Linked DNA regions of Arabidopsis thaliana. The protein of the gene in region 3 interacts with the protein of the main gene of each other region in a pairwise test. Each region holds a gene or a part of one and is shown on either strand. Other genes may lie near its edges.

Region 1 (6,811 bases), on a different chromosome or scaffold from region 3:
TGTTGCAGTGAGTTACATTTCCATTTTTCATCATTCCTTAACTTTGAAAAATCTAAGTGTGACGAGTTAATGGTTCTGAAGTAAGAAATGATGATAATGCTTTGGTTGAAATGCAGGGGACCTGAAGGAAGTGCAGTGGAGCTAGCGATTCGCAGTGGACCTGAAACGAGACTCTTAACTTTGACGTATTTCTCTCATGCCTACATTTATCTTCGTTGTCACGTTCATTTGGTAACTACAATTGTTGTTATTTCAGGCGAGAGCGGGTTTCTGTGAATCCAGTGAAGTCAAGATTATGTGAACTTCCTGGTTCTGGGAGTAACTCCCCTAAGATTGGCTATATCAAGCTAACAACATTCAATCAAAATGCTTCTAGTATGTATTCTTTGGCATTACTGATTCCTTCTTACAAATTTATCTACTCTCTAGTTTATTATCTCTCAAAGTCTTAACACTTTTTTTGTAGGTGCGGTAAGGGAAGCTATTGAAACCTTGAGAGGCAACAATGTAAACGCATTCGTCTTGGACCTTCGAGACAATAGGTGATGATTTTTTGAGAACATAAACTCTTTTTTGCTTTTGCAACAGCCTTTCTTAAAAAAATTGTTCTTGCTGCAGTGGAGGTTCTTTCCCAGAAGGAATTGAGATTGCTAAATTTTGGTAATAACCTCATAAACCGTTACATATAACGAATTAGAAAATTTCAAGATCCACAGCTATCATAATAGAAACTTCAACATTTGCTATCCACAGGTTAGATAAAGGAGTGATTGTGTATATTTGCGATAGTCGAGGTGTTAGAGATATATATGATACTGATGGAAGCAATGCTATAGCAACCTCTGAGCCTCTTGCCGTTCTTGTATGAGCTTCCATCCTTCCTTTCCTCAAATCTAGTCCTTATTGTAATCTGTAAATGCCATGAAAGATTTCATTCTCACACAATCTTTCTCTTTTCCAGGTTAACAAAGGCACCGCGAGTGCCAGCGAGATATTAGCAGGTGCCTTGAAAGATAATAAACGTGCTCTGGTTTATGGAGAACCAACTTACGGAAAAGGGTAAACAAAATGGCGCTATTTTTTATTCTTCTTCTCAGAGACCGAACCGTAAAATTCCTGAGACTTTAACGCATTTTGCAGCAAGATACAGTCGGTTTTTGAGCTTTCTGATGGTTCGGGCTTGGCAGTAACAGTTGCTCGATATGAAACACCAGCTCACACAGATATAGACAAAGTATGAAACTACTTTCTTCCTGTAGTAACCCCCTCTGTGTCTACACTACACTACATACAAACATGTTCTTACAGTCTTGACTCGTTGCTGGTTGTTGTATAGGTCGGTGTAACTCCTGATCATCCATTGCCAAAGTCGTTTCCGAAAGATGAAGAGGCGTTCTGTGGATGCCTTAAGGATCCTACAGCTGCTTGTTATCTCAATCAAGGCCTACTTTTTTCTAGATGATTTTGTTTTGTTCAAACTTTGTTCTGACAACATATGACTAAAATTTATTGACTCAAGCTTTGTACTTTTGAAGATTCGCCATAGCTTTAGCTAATCGAAACCAGAAATTTCACATTTAAGAACACAAACAGAGGATTTTCCTTCAGAACCAAGTTATATTACAGAGACAAAGCAGTAACACTCTCTCCTTCAGAACCAAGACTCAGCAAACACAAGCCAAATCAAACCAAAGTGAACTACTCTATATACTCGATAACAAGAAACAAGAGACCAATAGTCCAACAGACTAAATTGTAGGAACAAAGAGAGTCGTGACAAACATATACTCATTGATGCTTCTTGATTGATGATGAAGCACTTGTCCATGCTTTTATGAGCTTGGGGAAATCAAACTGCGAGCACTATAATAACAATCATGAGCACGATACCAAAAATCACCAAGAGCAAGCACGTCTACAAGAAAAAGAAAAAACAATGGAAAGAAGAAGTTAGTAGGCTGATCTGATCATCCAAAATCCTCAAAAACACATTTCATGGTACGATCAAAAGCTTTAATATATTACCAGAGAAGAATTTGATCTTTGTGTCTTTGATGCCTTACGAGATGGGATTTTCCTTGGGCAGTTGCAGCGTAAGAGTTATCGATGTGAGTACCAATATCATCTACACAAAAATAGGTCTTACGTCTTAGGTTTTGAAGACATAAGTGAGAGTTTTAGCATAACAAGAGTTGGAATCAGTTTTACCTATCATGTTTCCTTGATCGTGCACCAACACTGCCAAGTCTTTGAAGATCTCGTGCACCTCGCCAATTTGCTGCTGAATTTCTTGTATCCCTTGCTCTCTTTCCTCAATAACAGCCTCATTGAACGCAATCTCATTGTCCAACAGTACAAGTTCTTGTCTGCAACAAAAAACAACAAACCAATCAATAGATAACTCATCAACCGAACAAAGATGGACACCATTGTCTGTATAAACTAACCTTTTTGATTCCACAAGAAGGGCACGCTGCTCTGGATGCTTATCTCCATTCACATCTATCTCACTGGATGTGTAGCTACATTACCAAAGCCAGGAAATCAATACACAAAACCACAAAAGTAAACATAAACCATCAATGAGCATTAACCTTGAGGGAAGAGATGGCTTGTGGACAAGAGGAGCATATACGGTTTCTCTTTCAGCAGCAAGACGCTGAGCCTTTTGAAACTCTTTCAACACAGCTTGAAAGTCCTTTGCAAGCTTAGCATCCACAATCTTCTTCTTTTGCTAACCAACCAATCAAATTCCTATTAATCAACAGAAGTAGCAGAAGAAGAACAAGAATCTTCCTTTATCATAAATGACTCACATTTACACCTCTTTGATGATCAGTTTCACTAGCTTCTTTAAGTTTAGCTGATGTATCTTTCACTAACTGTCCAATATATAATCTTGTCTTATGCCTAAAACAAGCAAATTGACTCAATTAGAAACAATTTCAAGTACCCTAAAACTCAAAAAGGAGATAACTTTAACTTTGAGAAGTACTTACAGCTTCTCTCTGAGCTCAGGCGTATCTTTAGGAGTACCAAGAGTATTGACAAGACGATGGAAAGTGGAAACACTTGTATTGATCTGAAATATACCAGAAGCAACATCTTGAGTCGTGTCTTGTCTACTACCACCACCATTGATGTTCCTTGAAGAAGCTAATGATCTTCCTCTTCCCGCCTCTAAATCTTGAAAACTCATTCTTTCTCTCTCTTTCTCGAAAACCCCGCCACTAAATTATCCTCTTTTATTCGCCCAAGAAAACAAAGCAACAACAAAATTCGATTTACAGTCGATAACGGAGATCGAGGGAAGAGAGGATGTGATGGTGATTTCAAGATTCCCCGGTGAGTTTCTCTCTCTCCGGACAGATTGAGAAAAAACGTGAACCGCGGAGAGAGAGATTGAGCAAAACGTGAAATGTCACATTACCTGTATGAACGGAAAAAGCTTGTACTTTTTTCATTTTTTGATCCTTAACTTTTCTATAATATTCCAAACGTGACTCTATAGTTTAGAATCTTAACGGTATATCCTCCTTTTATTATAAAGTGATAAATGGTCTACGATGATTACATTGCTCTGAGCTCAGGACACGTGGATGGTAGACATTGGTGGAGAAAGTGATTATGTCACGACGTTAATTGATTATTTTAACCAAGATACTAACAGATTACGGATTAATTAGAATTAGATTAAGGATTATGATAGATTAGTCCAGAATTTAATGAATAAAATCTCTAGATAGAACTTTACGTGACTAAAAAGGGTCAAAAGCAAAAGAAGTTTAAAATTAGGACTCTTTTTTAATCATCGCACGTGAGAAGGTTCCGACCATATCACGTGCCAAACCCGAATAAGACTCGTTTTTCCAAGGCGTTTAAAATCAGGTCCCACTTTTTTCTTTTATTTTTCACTCTTCTTCACATCAAATCCGCGACCAGAGATTTTTCTTTCCTTTGATTTTTCGTTTCGTTTCGTTTCAAATATTGTTCCTCCTGTGTGAAGGAAAAACAATCTTCCATTTCAATCCGCGTCAACGCGATTTTCTTCATGACGGTGAGCTTATCTAATCTCTTCGCTTTTTGAAACTAGTTAGTTTTGGTTTTTGTTTTGGATTTATCCTGAGAAAGGTCGATGTTTTTGCTGTTGATTTGATTGAGGAAGATGTGAACAGATCTGTTGATTTTGATTGTTGTTTTCTAATTTGTTTTGCGAGAAATGGCGTTGATTATTAGTGAAGAATCGCTAGTTTTTTTATTTTAGAGGATTTGAAGCTGTTCTCTGTTTTTGATTTGGGTGAAAATTACTGTTTCTGATATGAAGAAATTTTTTTTTAGGGTAAAATTGCTTTTGTTTGGATTAGGATATTCACTTTAGCATTTGTTTTGTTTTGTAATCTGTTAATATCTGATCTGTGCCATAGGATTAGTTTTGAGACAAGTATTTGCTTTTCCTAGATTCTGAGGTTCTTTTTATCTTCTTGTATTGATGATGCAATGTTTCTGTGTTTTCTGATCATTGTATTGATAATATTGGTTGCTTTAGGAGTGTGTGTGTGTGTGTTTAGTCATTGTTTTAGGCGATAAGGAATCGAGAAATGTGTAATCGAACAACTAATGAATAAGTCTGAGATTTTGTTTAGCTGGTGAAATGGTTTGAAATTTTAGTTTTTAAGTCACACGAGATTATATTTCACTTGCAGATGACAACAGTTAAAGTGAGCAATGTTTCTCTAGGAGCAACCGATAGAGATCTCAAGGAGTTCTTTTCCTTTTCTGGCGATATTCTGTACCTTGAGACGCAGAGGTTTGGTTTCCTCTCTATTGTTCCTTTTGAAAGTTTTAGATTACAGCTTTTAGTTCGTCAGGTTCTTAACTCTTTTGACATGTTTGTACAGCGAGACTGAGCGGACTAAACTGGCATATGTCACTTTTAAGGATCTACAAGGAGCTGAAACTGCGGTTCTTCTCTCGGTATTTTTACTTCTTAGCCTGTATTAGTTCCTCTATATGACTGTATCCTTTGAGTGACTGAGTATTAATGTAATTCTTTCATTTCAGGGAGCAACGATTGTTGATTCTTCAGTCATTGTCTCTATGGCTCCTGATTACCAACTGTCCCCTGAGGCTTTAGCTTCCTTGGTAAGCTCGTAATTCATCATCTCTTCTGAGTTTTTTCACAAGTTAAAATCTTACCATTTCATCTTTTTCACAGGAACCCAAGGACAGCAATAAATCTCCCAAGGCAGGTGACTCCGTGTTGAGAAAAGCCGAAGATGTTGTGAGCAGCATGCTTGCAAAGGGCTTTATCCTGGGAAAAGATGCCATAGCTAAAGCCAAAAGTGTTGACGAGAAGCACCAGCTAACATCTACAGCATCAGCCAAAGTCGCATCTTTTGACAAGAAAATTGGTTTCACTGATAAGATCAACACAGGCACGGTGGTAGTGGGAGAAAAGGTCAGGGAAGTTGATCAGAAGTACCAAGTCTCAGAGAAAACCAAATCAGCAATCGCTGCAGCGGAGCAGACAGTGAGCAATGCAGGTTCAGCTATAATGAAGAACCGGTATGTTCTCACAGGTGCCACGTGGGTTACTGGAGCATTCAACAAAGTTGCTAAAGCTGCAGAAGAAGTTGGACAAAAGGCTAAAGAGAAAGTTGGTATGGCTGAGGAAGAGGATAAGAGGAAAGTGGTTGATGAGTTTGCTAGAGTTCACTTGTCTGAATCACCAAAGGCAGCTTCATCAACGCAAGAAGCCGAACGTGAATCAAAACTCTCTGAATCTCCTGAAGCAAAGAAAGATTCTGAACATCTTGAGCCACAATCGAAACCATTGCAGCAACAATCTCCTCCACCTATGGCTTCAGCTCCTGCTCCGGCTCAACCTTGAGATATGCAATCAAAGACCTTTCTGATTCTTGTTGTAAACGGTAAAACTTGGAACTAATCTCTCTCAGATTGTTGAAGATGAAGATTGAACTTGTTATTTAGGACGAAGACTTGTGTTCTTGTAACATTGGATTCATGGTCGATTTGGTAATTAGACCTTAAAAAGAAAACAATTTTGTTCTTTTCGTTTTTCTTAAACTTATTTAAACCGGGCTAATCATCATGGTTAACTGAACCAAATACCGATCGATTTTTATTTTAAAATCAAAAATTTGATTAGAGCAATTAGCCCGTCAAGTGATTTTATGTAACTGAAAGTAACAAACCAAAGTAGATGTTACAAACACATTTGACAGGAAACGCTTTGTCGGTGATCTAAGAACTCTAATTATAAGAAGATTTTAAGCACTTTAAATTCAAAGAAGTATCAATTAAGAATAAATGTATATATTGACATTTGACAAAACTAAAGGAATAAAATCTCGACCAGTTAAACGCATTTATCAAAATATTTTGTTCTCAAGTGAAAAAAGAACAGATTTATTCATGGTATAAAAGGAAAAAGACAATTCGTTTTCTCACAATTATATATTGTTTGTAAACACATCATCTTAATTGTGCAAACAATATCAAAATTATACAAATAGAAAAGAGCACAGAAAAAAATGGAGAAGTCAGCTTTGATATTCATCGGTATTCTACTTTTTTCAACATGTGAGTTTCACAACTAAATTTATGTACCAATTGTATTCATCATCCTTATCATGTCATGAGCGTTTCTATAAATCATTTCGGTGATTTTTAGCAGGTACATCGATTATGGCACGAACTGGATATGTATCTTGCAAGACGAATTCTGACTGTGTTAAACTCAAATGTCCAACGCCATTTGGTGGCCCCAAATGTATTAGCGGTAGTTGTG
Region 2 (6,089 bases), on a different chromosome or scaffold from region 3:
AGGCTGCTTTCCAACACCGTTGCGGGGTTGCCCTCATAAACGTATTTGCATGCTAACAGTGCCAAATGCCAATTATTGTTTTTTAATTTTTGACCAACTATTGATTTCATTTATTTATTACTAATTGTTAAAAATCAAAATAAAATTAGTTAGGCAACACTAGACTTACAAATTCTTTGGAAATGCTTGTCGGTGGCTTGTGAGGAAGAGTTGTGTTGCTATTATGGAGTCCTTTTACATGTTCTCTCATTAGCTTATCTTTTAGGAGCTTTTCCTCCTTATGTTTGTTTGCCCTTTAATTTGGGTCTTAGTCTTTGGAGGTTTCTATGTACCCATCAATGTTGTCTCCGAAAAGATCTTGTTCTTGTCTGTTTTGTATATCTCTACCGCAGCTAATGAATGAAATCTTTAGACGGAAAAAAATAACACTAGACAAGATGAAATTAGGTTGATGAAATTTAGTTTCTAGAAATTTAGTAACAATTTTTTCTTCTCTCTTTTTTCCTCACTTAACCCTCTAACATAATCAATTAATCATGTATGTTGGTAATTTGTTTTACACGCTATATCTTATAGAATATCGTCGATAAAATTATGTACGACATGTTTTAACTTATAACATCTTCATGAGAGGAGGACCAGGAGGTAAGTCTTGACTCTTGATTCTTGCGAAAATAAAGAACAAAATGTTGGGTGATTGTTATTTTTTCGGGATAATGATGAATATTAGATAAGTCACGCTTACATCGACAAAAATTATATGGATGGACTACATTTGTGGTTAGTTGTTTATAAATCAATTTACCGAACATGAAACTATATTTTTACATGGTGTTGTAATAATGTTAACACGTTCGCATTACCCGGACGGAAAGGTGGTGTTGAACGGTGATGGTAATAAAAAGATTGTATTAGAGTGTATATACTTCGTTTAGTTATGGTTTAGTTTGGTTAGTAATTATGGTTTAGTTTATTTTGTATCTATATATATATTTTTGCAACACTTTTATGAAATAAATCTTCAAGTTGGGATTTATTTACAACCCAATGCCATTGGCATTTAATATTTAACAATTTTATTTTCAAATCTAAATATAAACTAATTTTGTTACTAAAATTTAGGAAACTAAAATAAATATATCACAACAATTATTTAAATCTTTCCAAATCTAAACTAAAATATACTACTCACTAATATTCCTATTTAAGAGGATCAATTAGCATTAACGGTATATTATTATTGATATATATGAACTTTATAAAACATTAATAATATTTATCCTTATAAAAAAATATTAAAATATCATAAAACGAGTTATATAACGGGACGGATTTGGATTGATATAACACGAGTTAAATCTTTATTTATTATTTTATCATCACCAAATTTTTTATTTACAATATTATATAAAATTATATAACTTTAATACTAAATTTAAACCATAAAATTTAATATTATTATATATATGAATTAAACATTTTTCCTGTGGTGTACCACGGGTTAAATCCTAGTTTAAGCTTAATCATGTATCTCATTTACGTTTAATGAAGGTTTCACTATGGTTGATAGATTGTGTTGGTGTGTTGGTCAACAAATTCCAGCACAAAATAGTTGTGTTAGAGGAGAAAAGAGATTGATAAATATGTAGAGGACATGAAGATAAAGGGTGAGAGTGATATTTTGATCTTGAAAAAAATAATTATGGAGTAACTGATAAGTGATCATGGACAAAAATGAAATTAAGAGAATGATTTTCCATTCATTTAATTTGTTTAGATAACTTCATCTTCTTCTTTTTCTTCATTCTCTTAATTTCAACTTTGTCCATTATCATTCAATCCAATCACTCATCAATCAATTAGCCTTGACTAATTGTACAGACATAATAATTAAATCAGTAAAAGTCAAAAGCTATTATCATCAAGCAATGGAATCCCATCCCAGACTGCAATTAACAAATGGCAATTGAGAGTTTAACAGAATTTGACAACTTCTTTTTGTTTTTCTAATTGACAACTTTTTATTTGGTCAAATCCTATTGAACTATAATATACTATTATTATAGTTTATTGGTGCTAAGAATGTGAACCAAAGTGATTAGTTAGCAAGTAATAACCTTATTGCACACTATAATACTTTCTTATATTTCTTCTAGTATGGTTACGTTTTAGTGTTAAACTAAAAGAACTGACAAAAAGAAAAAAATTAGATATAGCCATTAGTTATAACTTATAGCTCATGATGTCACATATGTATCATGTGGCTTACATTTGTTCAATTATCCCAGAGATAGTGATTTGTTATCCATAAGCCATATCACTAACCTTTTTTATGGACAGATTCCAAGTCTTCAAAATAAAATTTCAACTACATGTATTACTCTACATAATAAGGTTGGAAGCTGATTTATGCAACGAAGCCATCTTTTTTATACTTCCTACGATCTTTAAATAAAAATGCTCAGAGGTACAGAGGACACAATCCAAGGTGAAATAAAAAAGTGAACCAAAAATTAACGAAATAGAAGTGTCTTAAAATTAAGCAGATAGAGATAGGGAACGAAGAAATAAGATCGTTGAACAGAAAAAACTTGAAACAATCTAGTTTTGCTCTTGGGCTTCTGCAGCCTCCTTCTCTTCATTAGCTGCAGCCATTAGTTCATCAAACTTCTCAGACTTGGCAAGCGTGATCTCAATCTACAAGTCACAGTGTCACCAATTTAGCAACCAACATAGCAATTTCCCAGAGAACAAAAATCATTAGACGGAAGCTAGAATTCCACAGCATAAGCAATTTATCAAATGATTCGAAAATATATACCTTAGCTTTCTGCACAGGACGACCCCTTGAATCATCCTTGATATCCACAGTCGATGTCATGATCTCTGCAGGAAAAAACAATATCCAAATAAGCAAAACTTAGTCACTGAATCTTTCAAATCTCTTGTGCTAACATTAACTCATTCAAGATTAAGAAGATCTTACTCTTTTCAACAGCAAAGCCATTGTTCTTCAATATCTCAGCGACCGTAACAACAGTGGCAATAGCTGCACAACGCACAAATCAATGTTTTATGAGAAACCAGAATAAACTCTTCCAATAAAGAAAGCTCGGATAAGATATTACAAAATCACAGAAGATAAAAGATTCTATGTCATAACAATAAAAGGAAACAGCTTTTCTGATAATAACTTTGAATTTAATGAACTCAGTTACATAGTTTAAAAACCATACATATTAGATTTGATATATAAACAAGATCATAAAGAATAAACATTACCCATTCCTAGTGCAGACAATTCGACATCAGTGTACTGCTGCATGTACCTCTGTTAACAAAACACCAAACATGGTCAATAACATAAACAGGTTTAATCAAATCTAAAGAGCAAAACAAAGTTCACAAATCTAAGGAACAAACATTGATAAAGAGTCACATAAACAACACAGAACCACCAGTAATAACTCATCAAAGTCAATAACAGATAAATTAACACTCATGAACAATCACAGACATTTCCAGACTTGGTACTCAAATAAGAACACTTCGAATCCATAGATTTCAATCTAAATACGAATTTATTAAGATTCGATTAAAAGGGTTTCGTTACCTTGGCGAGATTGACGTAGAAGAACAATGGTTTCTTAGTGTTGGAAACTTGAATCCGATTCTTCTTCTGGGTATCAACAGCCAAGTTCATGTTGTTAACTCCTTCCGTGATCTCTTCCATTGAATCTAACTCAGAAAAATTAAAACTTCTCCTCTCGAATTTAGATTTCTCTCTCACTTTTATCTCAGAAAACGAATGAAATTGAAGAGACAGAGAGACGACGATGAAGCTTGAACCAAACCCCCAAAAAACCCTAACTTGAAATGCCAAACGACATCGTTTTAACACAACCTACACAAATGGGCTAGGCTCCAGCCCAATAGGCCCAATTGGGGGGAAAATTAATTCTGCGATGAGCAAAATCGGCGTTATCCGATCAGATCGTTGAATTGAATCTTCGAGAAGACTCTTCTTTTGATTCAATCACTCACCGGAGAAGAAGAAGAAGCTATGCCGGTGTTCAAAGCTCCGTTCAATGGCTACTCTGTGAAATTCAGTCCATTCTACGAGTCACGCCTCGCCGTCGCTACAGCTCAGAACTTCGGAATTCTCGGAAACGGCCGAATCCATGTCCTCGAGCTCGCTCCTGGAGCTCCAGGCGTAACTGAATCCGTCTCGTACGATACAGCCGACGCTGTATACGACGTATGTTGGTCAGAATCTCATGACTCTGTGCTCATCGCCGCAATTGGTGACGGCTCAGTGAAGATTTACGACACAGCTCTTCCTCCTCCTTCTAATCCGATTAGATCATTCCAAGAGCACGCGCGTGAGGTTCAATCTGTGGATTACAATCCCACGCGGCGCGATTCGTTTCTCACTTCTTCGTGGGATGATACGGTTAAGCTTTGGGCTATGGATCGTCCGGCGAGTGTAAGGACTTTTAAGGAACATGCTTATTGCGTTTATCAAGCAGTTTGGAATCCTAAACATGGTGATGTGTTTGCTTCTGCTTCTGGAGATTGTACTTTAAGGATTTGGGATGTTAGAGAACCTGGATCAACTATGATCATCCCTGCTCATGATTTTGAGATTTTGTCTTGTGATTGGAATAAGTATGATGATTGTATTTTAGCTACTTCTTCAGTGGATAAGACAGTTAAGGTTTGGGATGTTAGGAGTTATAGAGTTCCTTTGGCTGTGCTTAATGGTCATGGATATGCGGTGAGGAAGGTGAAATTCTCGCCGCATAGGAGGAGTTTGATAGCTTCTTGCTCTTATGATATGAGTGTTTGTCTTTGGGACTATATGGTGGAAGATGCTTTGGTTGGTAGGTATGATCATCATACAGAGTTTGCTGTTGGGATCGATATGAGTGTTCTTGTTGAAGGTTTAATGGCGAGTACTGGTTGGGATGAGCTTGTTTATGTTTGGCAGCAAGGGATGGATCCTAGAGCCAGTTGATTCATAAGTAAGTTTGTGATTGCAAAACAGTTTCATCTTTATTTGTTGTGGAATTGGTTTGGTTTTTGTTAAAGGAATGTAGTTGGAATAAAGTTGGGATCTTGCTTAAGAAGAAATGTAAGTTACTGAGAGTTTCACATATGAACAAGGTTATCTTTCGAATTGTGATTGATGGTAATAGTAGATAGATTGCTTATGTTCTAGTGTATATGTTAACCTGTTACAATGAGACCTGATTAACATATATATTAGGACTAAGATATATGTTAATCTTCTATAATGTCCAAAGTAATGACATAATATATATAAAGTCAATTACTTTAGGGTAATGTACCTTTTATAGTATACTGTAGAATTCGAATTTTGTTCTTTTTCATAGTTGATTGACTTTATTGAGTGGCATAAATGTACATATTTATAACTTTCTAGAGCATATTGCAGTTTCGAGCTTTTGCATTTTATGCGTCTTCAGGTAGAAGCTTATTAAAATCACAAGAACATTCTTACGGATCTTCCATTTCAAGAATCACTTTCTACTTATTACTTTACTATTATACCACTCTCTTTTTTATCTTATTCCATAGTATTAAAGATTCTTTTATTTTCTTATGATTTTTTTTTTAATATAGTACTCCGATCCCAAACAAAAGATCTCAAAACACATTTTGTCAAGTCACAAGACTCACAACCGTCTCAACTTTTGGACTAAATTCAAATCAGACAAATAATTGGGTTAAACATATGAAAGGGCTTGACATTATATCATATAGTATTAAAGTGAACTATAATATTGCTTTATCCACGAGGTCAAGAACATACTATATGTAATAGACACACATTAGTATTGACTTTTTATGTTAAAACTAGAGATTAAATTTTGTGAATTTAAATGACACATGTACGATCTTTTACTTTTGTTGTGATGCACGCGGAAGATGTTGCGAAGGATTAGAAATTGTTAAAAGAGAAGAAGGTGGTAGACTGCTCTTCATTTAGGAATATTTCTGACCATAAAACTTGTGGCATGGAAGATTATTCCTAAGAAATTATACGAAGAAGAGATCATTGTCGG
Region 3 (9,341 bases):
GACGCCGTTTTCAGAAGAAACACAGATACCCAACGAAACGACGACGTTTTTAAATGCTGCGAGAGGCTAATTCAACAACCGATTCATTTGCAGTGAAGAAGAGATAATTTAGCAGACGTTTCAGCAAAAGATTTTACTTGATAGATTTGATTTAAGAAAGAAATCGGATCCGATTTGATTAACATCGCAACAAGAAAACGAAACAGAAATCGATCAAAGAGTCAACAACAACCATCAAATCTAAAAAACCCTAATTTTACAAACATCGATTTCAACAAGATCCACAATTCAAGAGCTAGTAAACTTAGTCACCGCCTTAGTTCCTTCAGAAACAGCATGTTTCGCAAGCTCACCAGGAAGAACAAGTCTAACAGCAGTCTGAATCTCCCGAGAAGTAATCGTCGGCTTCTTATTATACCTCGCGAGCTTCGACGATTCCGATGCCAATTTCTCAAAGATGTCGTTGATGAAACTGTTCATAATCCCCATAGCTTTGCTTGAAATACCAATATCTGGATGAACTTGTTTCAGAACCTTGAAGATGTAGATCTTGTACGTCTCAACACTCTTCTTCTTCATCTTCTTCTTCTTATCGCCGCCGGCACCGGCTTCCTTCGGGAGTTTCTTGCCGGCTTTTGGTTTCTTCTCTGCAGGAGCTTTCTCGGCTTTTGATTTCTCCTCTACTGGTTTCTTCTCTGCCGGCTTCTTCTCTGCCTTTGGTGCCATTTTCTTCACACGAAAAAAGTTTCAAAGAAAGATTCTGAATTTTAGAAGATGGAGTCGTGAGATCAAGTTTTGTGTTTGTTGTTTAGACGATTCGGTAGCTCATGTATATATATGACCATGAATTAGATACAGATTGGTTAATTCTCGTTTCACGAGGATTGATGACGTGGAATATATTACGTACCGTTAGATTAGAATAAATCCGTCGTTGGCAGTGAACGGCTAAGCATCTCTCACCTTTTTAAATGGGCCATTAAGCAGCGAATCAAAATTAATTTCGAGTTTTATCTTTTAACGGGCTAAAATGGGCTTAATACCTAAATAATAATCTGTTAGTCCTAGACGTGAATCAGTTAAGAGAATGCCATCAATGTTGATACAAAGTCCATGTTTGGTTACAAATGGGCCTAATTATGTATCAATAATGGGCCTAGTTATGTATTTATAATGGGCTTAGTTATACATGAATCTGTCCCGTGAAAGCGATAAAAGCGAAAACCCTAAAAATAGTTCCGTCTTCTGTTTAATCTCTTTTTCAAGGCCAAGCGAGCAAGAGACGTCGGAGCGGCGGCTACTACTTAGGTTTCAGGTTAGTAATCGCCGGAATCTCCATCTCTCCTCTAATCCGATGAACTGCTTTATTGTTTTGTTGGAACACCGGCTTAGTTAATCTCCCCAATTTGATGTTTCTCCAGAGAATCTAGATTCCAATGTCATTTTCAGAGTGTGTAATTTTTAGGGAATCGAATTCGTTCCCTCTGTAGATGTTTTTATGTACATGTCAATAAGATTCGTGAAGCTGTTGATTTATGTTTTTGCAGTTTTTGAAATTTTGAAGAATGGTGAGAATCAGTGTGCTCAATGATGGTCTTAAGAGTATGTACAATGCAGAGAAGAGAGGAAAGAGGCAGGTTATGATCAGGCCTTCTTCTAAAGTTATCATCAAGTTCCTTATCGTCATGCAAAAGCACGGTATGCTAGTAACTTTGCAGAGCTAGCGTTTGATTCCTGTATACAGTTTTCAAGTGTAATGATGCTTCTTGGTTTTTAGGTTACATTGGCGAGTTTGAGTATGTTGATGACCACAGGTCTGGTAAGATTGTTGTTGAGCTTAATGGAAGGCTGAACAAGTGTGGAGTTATCAGTCCTCGTTTCGATGTCGGTGTTAAGGAGATTGAAGGATGGACTGCTCGTCTACTTCCTTCCAGACAGGTTAGTCTAGAGACTATATAGTAGTGGTACCAATCAATGTTTTAGCTATTGATCTGCTGCCTTACTTTGCTGTTCCTATTATGGTTTAATTGGATGTTTAGTGTCATTACTTTGCCTTACTTTATCTTTCAATGTTACAACTTCATTGAACACTTCTCTATGTGCAGTTTGGTTTCATTGTTCTGACGACCTCAGCGGGAATCATGGATCATGAAGAAGCTAGGAGAAAGAACGTTGGTGGCAAAGTTCTTGGGTTCTTTTACTGAAGCAGGGTCTCGAGATCTATCTTATCGGGTTATAGTTTGGTTCTCTGTAAGTCGATTGACCTCACTGTCAAAGTAGTAGTTTTATATGTTGTGGTCACTCGGATACGTAAAAACTTGGAGATGAGTAGACTAATTAATTTCAGTTTTTGAATTCGTTAGACTTGCGATTTATGAAATCAAAATCATCTTTCTTGACTTATCGTTATATGTGGCATTTACTCATTTTAGTCTCGTGCTCTTCTTGTTTGTTTTCTTAAAACATTTTAATATGTTTTTCATTTACAATGTTCATCAAAATACAAACAAATCTCTGAGGGAACTGTGAAAATTCGAAAAAGATTTTAGAAATACTGACAAAATAAGTTAAAATTCTAAGAAACAAAATTTAATAGTTTTCCTTCCAACAAGGTTTCTATGCTACATAGGTATAATTTTAGGTATTCTTCGTTAATAAATTTGAAGGAAATAACTAATAACGCACAAAAACCCTAAATCAAAAACCTAAGAAGACGTTTACCAGAAACAAAAAAACTAAGAAGACAATGACGACGAAAGAGAAGAATAAATCATCAAACTCACCGCCTCCGACGTCGTTTTCTTCGTTACCGGACGACATCGTTCTCAACTGTTTGGCTCGTGTCTCCAGATTCCATTATCCAACTCTATCCCTAGTCTGCAAGGGTTTCCGATCACTCCTAGACTCCCGTGAGCTCCACGCAACACGATCTTGCATCGGAAAAACCGAGAGTTTCCTCTACGTCTGCTTAGACCTGCATAGGAATTGCTATCCAGACTGTCCTCCACGATGGTTTATAGTTTCCCCGATTACCAAACAGAAACTGAAACCTATCCCTTCGGTTACTTGTCAATCCTCAACCGTTGTATCAATCGGTTCAAAGATTTACATAATCGGAGGCTTCGTTGATGGACATAGTAGCAGGAGATTGATAGTACTCGATTGTCCATCTCATGGATGGCGTAGACTCCCCGAGATGCGTGTACCTCGACAAAACGCAGCAGCTGATGTAATCAACGATAAGATCTACGTGATTGGAGGCTCTAGTTCCAACAATATCGAGGATTGGGGAGAGGTTTATGACCCAAAGACCCAAACTTGGGAGCCAGTATTGCCCACAACACTAGATCTTACTGTTCAAATGAGTGTGGTTCCAGGTAGCTTGGTAATGAGTGGGAAAGTTTATGACATGAATGGATTGAAGCTTAACTTTCAGAAGAATATTTGCTTGGTGGAGATAGAGAACATGATGTGCCAAACAAAGGTTTGTGAAGGGGTGTTAGTTTGGTGTGAACCAGAGGAAGATCGTGGGTGGTGTCCGGTTGATGGACTTGAAGGACTTCCCAATAGGCCAACTTCTCCTGGTTATCTTACCTCGGTGGCACATTCCGACCGAGGAAGAAGAGTAACAGTTTGGTGGGAGTCGGCTGTGTTACATCGTCTAGGTCCCAAATGGACTAAGGAATGTAAAACAGAGATTTGGTGTGCAGAGATTTCGTTTGAGAGACGCGGTGTTGGAAAGGTTTGTGGATTTGTTGAATGGTCTAAGAATGTCTTTACTAAGGATGACTACAAAACTTATAAGTTACCTGCTTCTCTTTCTGATTTCTTCTTGAATTCTACCATTGTGACATATTGATCAATGGAAGTTTATGTTAATTTTTGAGAGAGTTTTAAATTCTTTTGTGGGGATTTTGTTTAGAACATCTTGAGTATAGATTTTATGATAATGAACGAAAATACTGGTGGTGTTTATGTATCTCTAATAAATATGCAGTTGCGTAAGAACATAAACATCAACACACTTCTTATGAAAGAGTTATATATTGTTGAAAAGTATAGTTGTATAGTAGTAGTATATATTTCCAAAGATGACTTCAGATTACATTAGTATACAGTAGTAGTATTTGATACCAAATATAAAAATAAAAATTACTATAGCATTGTTTTAGTCCAGCTAATTGATTTTAAAGTAATTAATAAAAGGCCCATAAGGCTTCGTGCCTTCTTCTTTCTATATAGGCCCTTCAAAAAAGAATCCTTCTCTCTTTTTCTGCGCACTCCTTCGTTTCCAACTAACGTGCGCAGTGTATCCTATCGTGCACGCGAAGCAGACGAAGAAGAAGTAAAATAGAAGAAGCCGGGAAACAAAAGCTAAATCGGGAACTGGCGCATTTTAGTCGTCCGCCATAACCTTCGCTCTCTGATTCTTCCGATTACATCGGTTTTCTTCTCTCTCCGGTACATGATCTTCTTCTTTCCCGCAGCCGATTCATTCGATTTCTCCCTCTTTTGTTTGATCTAATTCGATTTCGATGAAACTCAGATTTTGATCTTTGAGTTTTTGTTTCCTTTAGATTCAATGGCTGCTCCACCTGCTAGAGCCAGAGCTGATTACGATTATCTCATTAAGCTTCTTTTGATTGGAGATAGCGGTACGTTGATCTGAAACCTCTCCGATGTTTTTATCGTCGATCCGTTGAAATTTGTTGAATCTGTTTGATTTCCATTGAATCGATCTATTCCACTGTGATTTTTGTTTGTGATTAGATCGTTGTGTGGATCGGTGTTTGTATTGAGAGATCTCTGTAACCTAAGGTTTTTTTTTTTTGTTGCAGGTGTTGGTAAAAGTTGTCTTCTTCTACGTTTCTCTGATGGATCTTTCACCACTAGCTTCATTACCACCATTGGGTTTGTGTTTTCTCTTTGCTTATGGAGATAAATTGAATTCTGTGATGTTTGTTTTGGATTCTGTTTTTACAGAGTCTTGTTTCTCTATTTTGCTTTGATGTAGCATTGACTTTAAGATAAGAACGATTGAGCTTGACGGTAAACGTATCAAGCTTCAGATTTGGGATACCGCTGGTCAAGAGCGGTTTCGGACTATCACCACTGGTGAGTTCATCTTTTTCATAAGAATTGCTTGCTGGATTAGTACTTAGAGCATTCACAACATCAGTAATGAATCAGATTAGATAGATTCTCGAGGAGATGAACACTTACATGTGCTATGATCTCTTGTACAATGCCACTTGACTGATTTATTTTGTTTGGCTGATTACTTTACTTGGTCTTGTATAGTTGATGTTTATGGGCTATTTTCGACACTTCATAGTTCATCTTTTCGTATAAATGTACTCACTGATCACTTTGCTTAGCATTCACCATCACAATAGAAGTCAAGTTAGAAAGATTGTCAAGATGAGATTGATGACAAACGCCTATAAGTAGTCTAAGATAGCCACTTATAGTTCTAGGTAAAGGGGATGCATTTGTGCAATGCCAATTTACTGATTTGCTCTTTTTGGCTGGTTACTTTTGTAGGTACTGTCTAGTTGATATTATTAGGATATTTAGGCAGTTTATACTGATCTGTTTCTGTTGTTTCAACACCATTTTGACGATTCTTTTTCTCTCGCATTTTCGCAGCTTATTACCGTGGGGCAATGGGCATTTTGCTGGTGTATGATGTCACAGACGAGTCATCCTTCAACAGTAAAACTCCCACCATCAAGTCTTTCACTTACTGGTTTCTATAAATCTCCTTAACCAAAATGAACATCTCTTTTACTAACACGATTCTTGACGTTATTGCAGACATTAGGAACTGGATTCGTAATATCGAACAGCATGCTTCGGATAATGTTAACAAGATCTTGGTAGGGAACAAGGCTGACATGGATGAAAGCAAGAGGGTATGAAGCACACCACCTTTATCCCTGTTCCTTATTCACGACTGATCCTAATAATAATAGCTTCTTGGTCCTGTCAAAATTTTCAGGCAGTACCTACAGCAAAGGGTCAGGCTCTTGCTGATGAGTACGGAATTAAGTTCTTCGAAACAGTAAGTCTAACAATGCTCTCAATCTTCGAAACTAGATGGGTAGTGTTTACATTGCTTACACATCTAGCTATATATGTGTTGTTGTTGCAGAGTGCCAAGACAAACCTAAACGTGGAAGAAGTTTTCTTCTCAATAGGGAGGGACATTAAGCAGAGGCTTTCAGACACCGACTCGAGGGCAGAGGTTTGTTACATCTCTCTCTTTCACATCTTTGCGTTGTTAGGTCTGAAAACGCATTGATCATTCATGTTACGTGGTCAATTGCAGCCTGCAACGATCAAGATAAGCCAAACGGACCAAGCAGCTGGAGCAGGGCAGGCCACACAGAAATCTGCATGCTGTGGAACTTAAAAAAGTTTTAAAAGTGAAGTTTAAGTCGAAAAAAGTTTGGGGGTGAAGTGAAAAACTAAGATATCGTTGGGTGCTTATGTAATTTTTTGTTTTATGCCAACAATTCTGATTCGTTCTTCTAAATTGTCCTTCCTATTTGTACGAAGGTTTAATCGAAACTTGTATTTTTCTTTTCTATTACTGATTTTTTATGACGGTGACTGAATTGTTTATGTTGGTCATCACTTCTCTCTATATATCCTCTGTTCTTAATTTTTCTCTTGCTTCCTCTTTTATCAAGTCTTTAAACATTACTTCTAATACTCGTAAACTCATCTTTGACACAACCATAAGCAATACAAAACCATAATATGTACACTGCCTGATTTATGAGTCGTAAACGTATAATTGTGTTAGCAATCCAGTGATGAAGAAACTTATCATGTTTTAGTTGCACTACAGTTACTATAGCTGACACTTATATTGTAGTTTCAACACCAGTTAAACCATTCTCATAGTTCAACAACATTCTAGGGTTAATAAAACGTGAAACCAAAATTTAGCGAACAAGAAAATAAATCTTGAATAGTATATCAGATTGTATTCAGATCATGTATTCACATCGAATAGTAAGATAAATGGATCAACAAAGACTAAAACCATGTAAAAAGTACTACTCTATGTAAGATTATCAATAAAACTAAAACCCTAACGAACATGAAAAATCAGTACATCGTTCTTCCCAACTCCAATTCCGTGTTGACAAAGCTCTCCACCGAAGTTAAGTCGAAATCCAAACACGCCACTCTCTTCCCACTACTCGATTTCTTCAAAGTCGTCACCGTTGTCGTCTCCGGCATGAAAGAATGCGTAACCAATACGTTAGAAGCCTTTTCTCGTTCTTTCTCGTTCCTATGTTTCCTCATGTGACCACCAAGAGCTTGTCCCATCGGAAACTCCAAGCCACAAATCGGACAAGTATGAGCCGTCGTCGTAGTCGTAGTTTTAGGCTTCTTCTTTGGTGATCCAGGAAGTGATTTATCGTCACTGTTGGTTAGTTTCGAGTGGCTTGCACGGTGGCCTCCTAAAGCTTGGAACGAATCGAAGTCTCTCTCACAAGTCTTGCATCGGAAAACACGTTTCTTTCTTCCGTCGTGTTCTCCAATTCCTGATAACAACATCAGACAGCTCGCCGCCGTATCCACCGTCAGATCACGATTATCACTTTCAGCAACCATGATTTTAGTTTCGAATCGAGCGAGTGACTTTCTAGGGTTTTGTTTTATGCTTGTGTGTGTTGACTCACTCCTCTTATATATAGGAGACTGGATTGAGTAAAGACGGTTTTAATTGACGAAAATACCCTCTCAAGACTTGCTGCCTAAGTTAGTAAAAATTGAAGCTGCGGTGTAAAGATGTACATGTAGAAAATCAGAGTCACCGCTTTAACACTAAAAACTCGGAAAAATGGAAATATTCATTTGTGAAAGAATATATTCTTATTGCTTTCCTCCACTAATTAGACAAATATTGAAAGACGTACTATAACCAGTTTTAATTATTTTTATAAAAAAAACAAGTTTTAATTAATATATAAATATGTATATTATATATAAAAAATATTGTAATTATCTTAATAAATATTTTATTCTAACGCGGTCTCTTCGGGTTCGTGTTCCTTCTTAAGCCGCCTTTTACTATTTGAGATTGGGCAAATCTACTTGGTACGTAACTTATCCGTATTCATTTATCACCAAGAAAAAGAAAAAAACTTATTCATAGTCGACATACTTCTAGAACTTTTTGTTGGTTCGATAGTCAATATTTATGTTCAGTTTATTTGTGAAACTCATGTCCTAGTAATTACACTTACACGCATATTATTCATTTGTATATACTTCGGAATCTTCTGACCTACGTCTTTTTATTCGCAATGATCAATAGAACTCAAGACTTGAGAAGATCATCGTGTCATTATCTAACTAAGATTTTGTCACAGTAACGTACGTAAATGAGGGACAAGTAGAGGTGTGTGGCTCTCGCACGAGTCACCGAGAAGGGAACGAATAAAAAGTGTGAAAATAGTGGTTGTACGGAAACTAGAGGGAAACTATTAGAAGCAAAGCAGAAGAAAAAAAGAAAATGAGAGAGTGGTTTGATGCGACATTTTTGATACACTTCCACGCGGTTTCTTCTTACCACAAATCTCTTCACATGTTTTTATTCACAAATTAGGTTTATCTCTCATATTCATCTCCCACTAAATAAGCAAATAGAGACAAGGATGTTATATCTGTAAGCATTTAGCTAATATCTAATATAAGAATACATATAAAATTAAAATTAATAGAAACATTTTATTGTTGAAGTTTACTACACACAGACTTCTCTAAGCATCTTACCTATTTATTTTATGTGCTAGTTTGACTGTTTAAATTAATTTTAACTTCATTATTTATATTCGACACATTATTCAAATCTCAATGCAATGATTCAATCTCTAGTTTGACGATTAAAAATTTGAATAGTTGATAATTCTTTTAATATTAGTCTATAATCTAAAGATAACGGGTGCCAAAAAAAAAAACTGAAAACAAGAAAAACTTTGAGAACATTTAGGAATCATAACTACTTATTAGAACGATCCAAACTTGAAGATTAACTAATTTGAACCTTTTTTTAACAATTTCTTCCCTTGGATGTGCGATTCTTGTAAGAGAGAGTGGAGAGAGGTTGGTTAGCTTAGTCTTGTCTCTGGTTATACTTGTTTCAATTGTTTTCTTGTTGTTGAAGTTGACCACACATATAATGGTTTCAAGTTTCAACACTACTTAAACCATTCATAGATCAAACTTCAAGGGCTAATTTAAAGAAAACAAGAAAATTAGTGTACATTGAATGTAAACTCCAATAGTGTATATCAAAATAATATTCACATCGATCGGTA

Evidence for each region.
Region 1: the proteins of RABE1c (region 3) and AT4G17720 interact in a two-hybrid assay, tested with the Arabidopsis thaliana proteins (2 studies listed by BioGRID).
Region 2: the proteins of RABE1c (region 3) and PEX7 interact in a protein complementation assay, tested with the Arabidopsis thaliana proteins (one study listed by BioGRID).

What each region holds. Positions count from the first base shown.
Region 1 is NC_003075.7:9,861,739-9,868,549, reverse strand, and holds AT4G17720 (RNA-binding (RRM/RBD/RNP motifs) family protein), read left to right. Parts: upstream 1-3,886; 5' UTR 3,887-4,051; coding exon 4,052-4,057; intron 4,058-4,703; coding exon 4,704-4,807; intron 4,808-4,898; coding exon 4,899-4,974; intron 4,975-5,061; coding exon 5,062-5,142; intron 5,143-5,215; coding exon 5,216-5,890; 3' UTR 5,891-6,185; downstream 6,186-6,811. Other genes in the region: AT4G17740 (Peptidase S41 family protein), read left to right, coding at 1-7, 117-185, 257-375, 467-542, 619-660, 754-862, 962-1,059, 1,141-1,234 and 1 more; SYP23 (syntaxin of plants 23), read right to left, coding at 1,833-1,854, 2,026-2,125, 2,209-2,366, 2,448-2,522, 2,595-2,734, 2,817-2,910, 3,000-3,199; AT4G17718 (Defensin-like (DEFL) family protein), read left to right, coding at 6,555-6,603, 6,698-6,811.
Region 2 is NC_003070.9:10,220,860-10,226,948, forward strand, and holds PEX7 (peroxin 7), read left to right. Parts: upstream 1-3,955; 5' UTR 3,956-4,063; coding exon 4,064-5,017; 3' UTR 5,018-5,463; downstream 5,464-6,089. Other genes in the region: AT1G29250 (Alba DNA/RNA-binding protein), read right to left, coding at 2,602-2,697, 2,822-2,886, 2,987-3,049, 3,283-3,331, 3,614-3,733. UniProt on the Arabidopsis thaliana protein: Receptor required for the peroxisomal import of proteins containing a C-terminal PTS2-type peroxisomal targeting signal. Specifically binds to cargo proteins containing a PTS2 peroxisomal targeting signal in the cytosol.
Region 3 is NC_003074.8:16,913,326-16,922,666, forward strand, and holds RABE1c (RAB GTPase homolog 8A), read left to right. Parts: upstream 1-4,201; 5' UTR 4,202-4,461; exon of another isoform or gene 4,462-4,577; 5' UTR 4,578-4,582; coding exon 4,583-4,655; intron 4,656-4,838; coding exon 4,839-4,911; intron 4,912-5,014; coding exon 5,015-5,115; intron 5,116-5,649; coding exon 5,650-5,715; intron 5,716-5,817; coding exon 5,818-5,915; intron 5,916-6,001; coding exon 6,002-6,064; intron 6,065-6,154; coding exon 6,155-6,247; intron 6,248-6,331; coding exon 6,332-6,415; 3' UTR 6,416-6,693; downstream 6,694-9,341. Other genes in the region: HTB11 (Histone superfamily protein), read right to left, coding at 289-726; RPS15AD (ribosomal protein S15A D), read left to right, coding at 1,566-1,698, 1,778-1,938, 2,106-2,204; AT3G46050 (Galactose oxidase/kelch repeat superfamily protein), read left to right, coding at 2,747-3,859; AT3G46070 (C2H2-type zinc finger family protein), read right to left, coding at 7,120-7,632. UniProt on the Arabidopsis thaliana protein: Involved in membrane trafficking from the Golgi to the plasma membrane.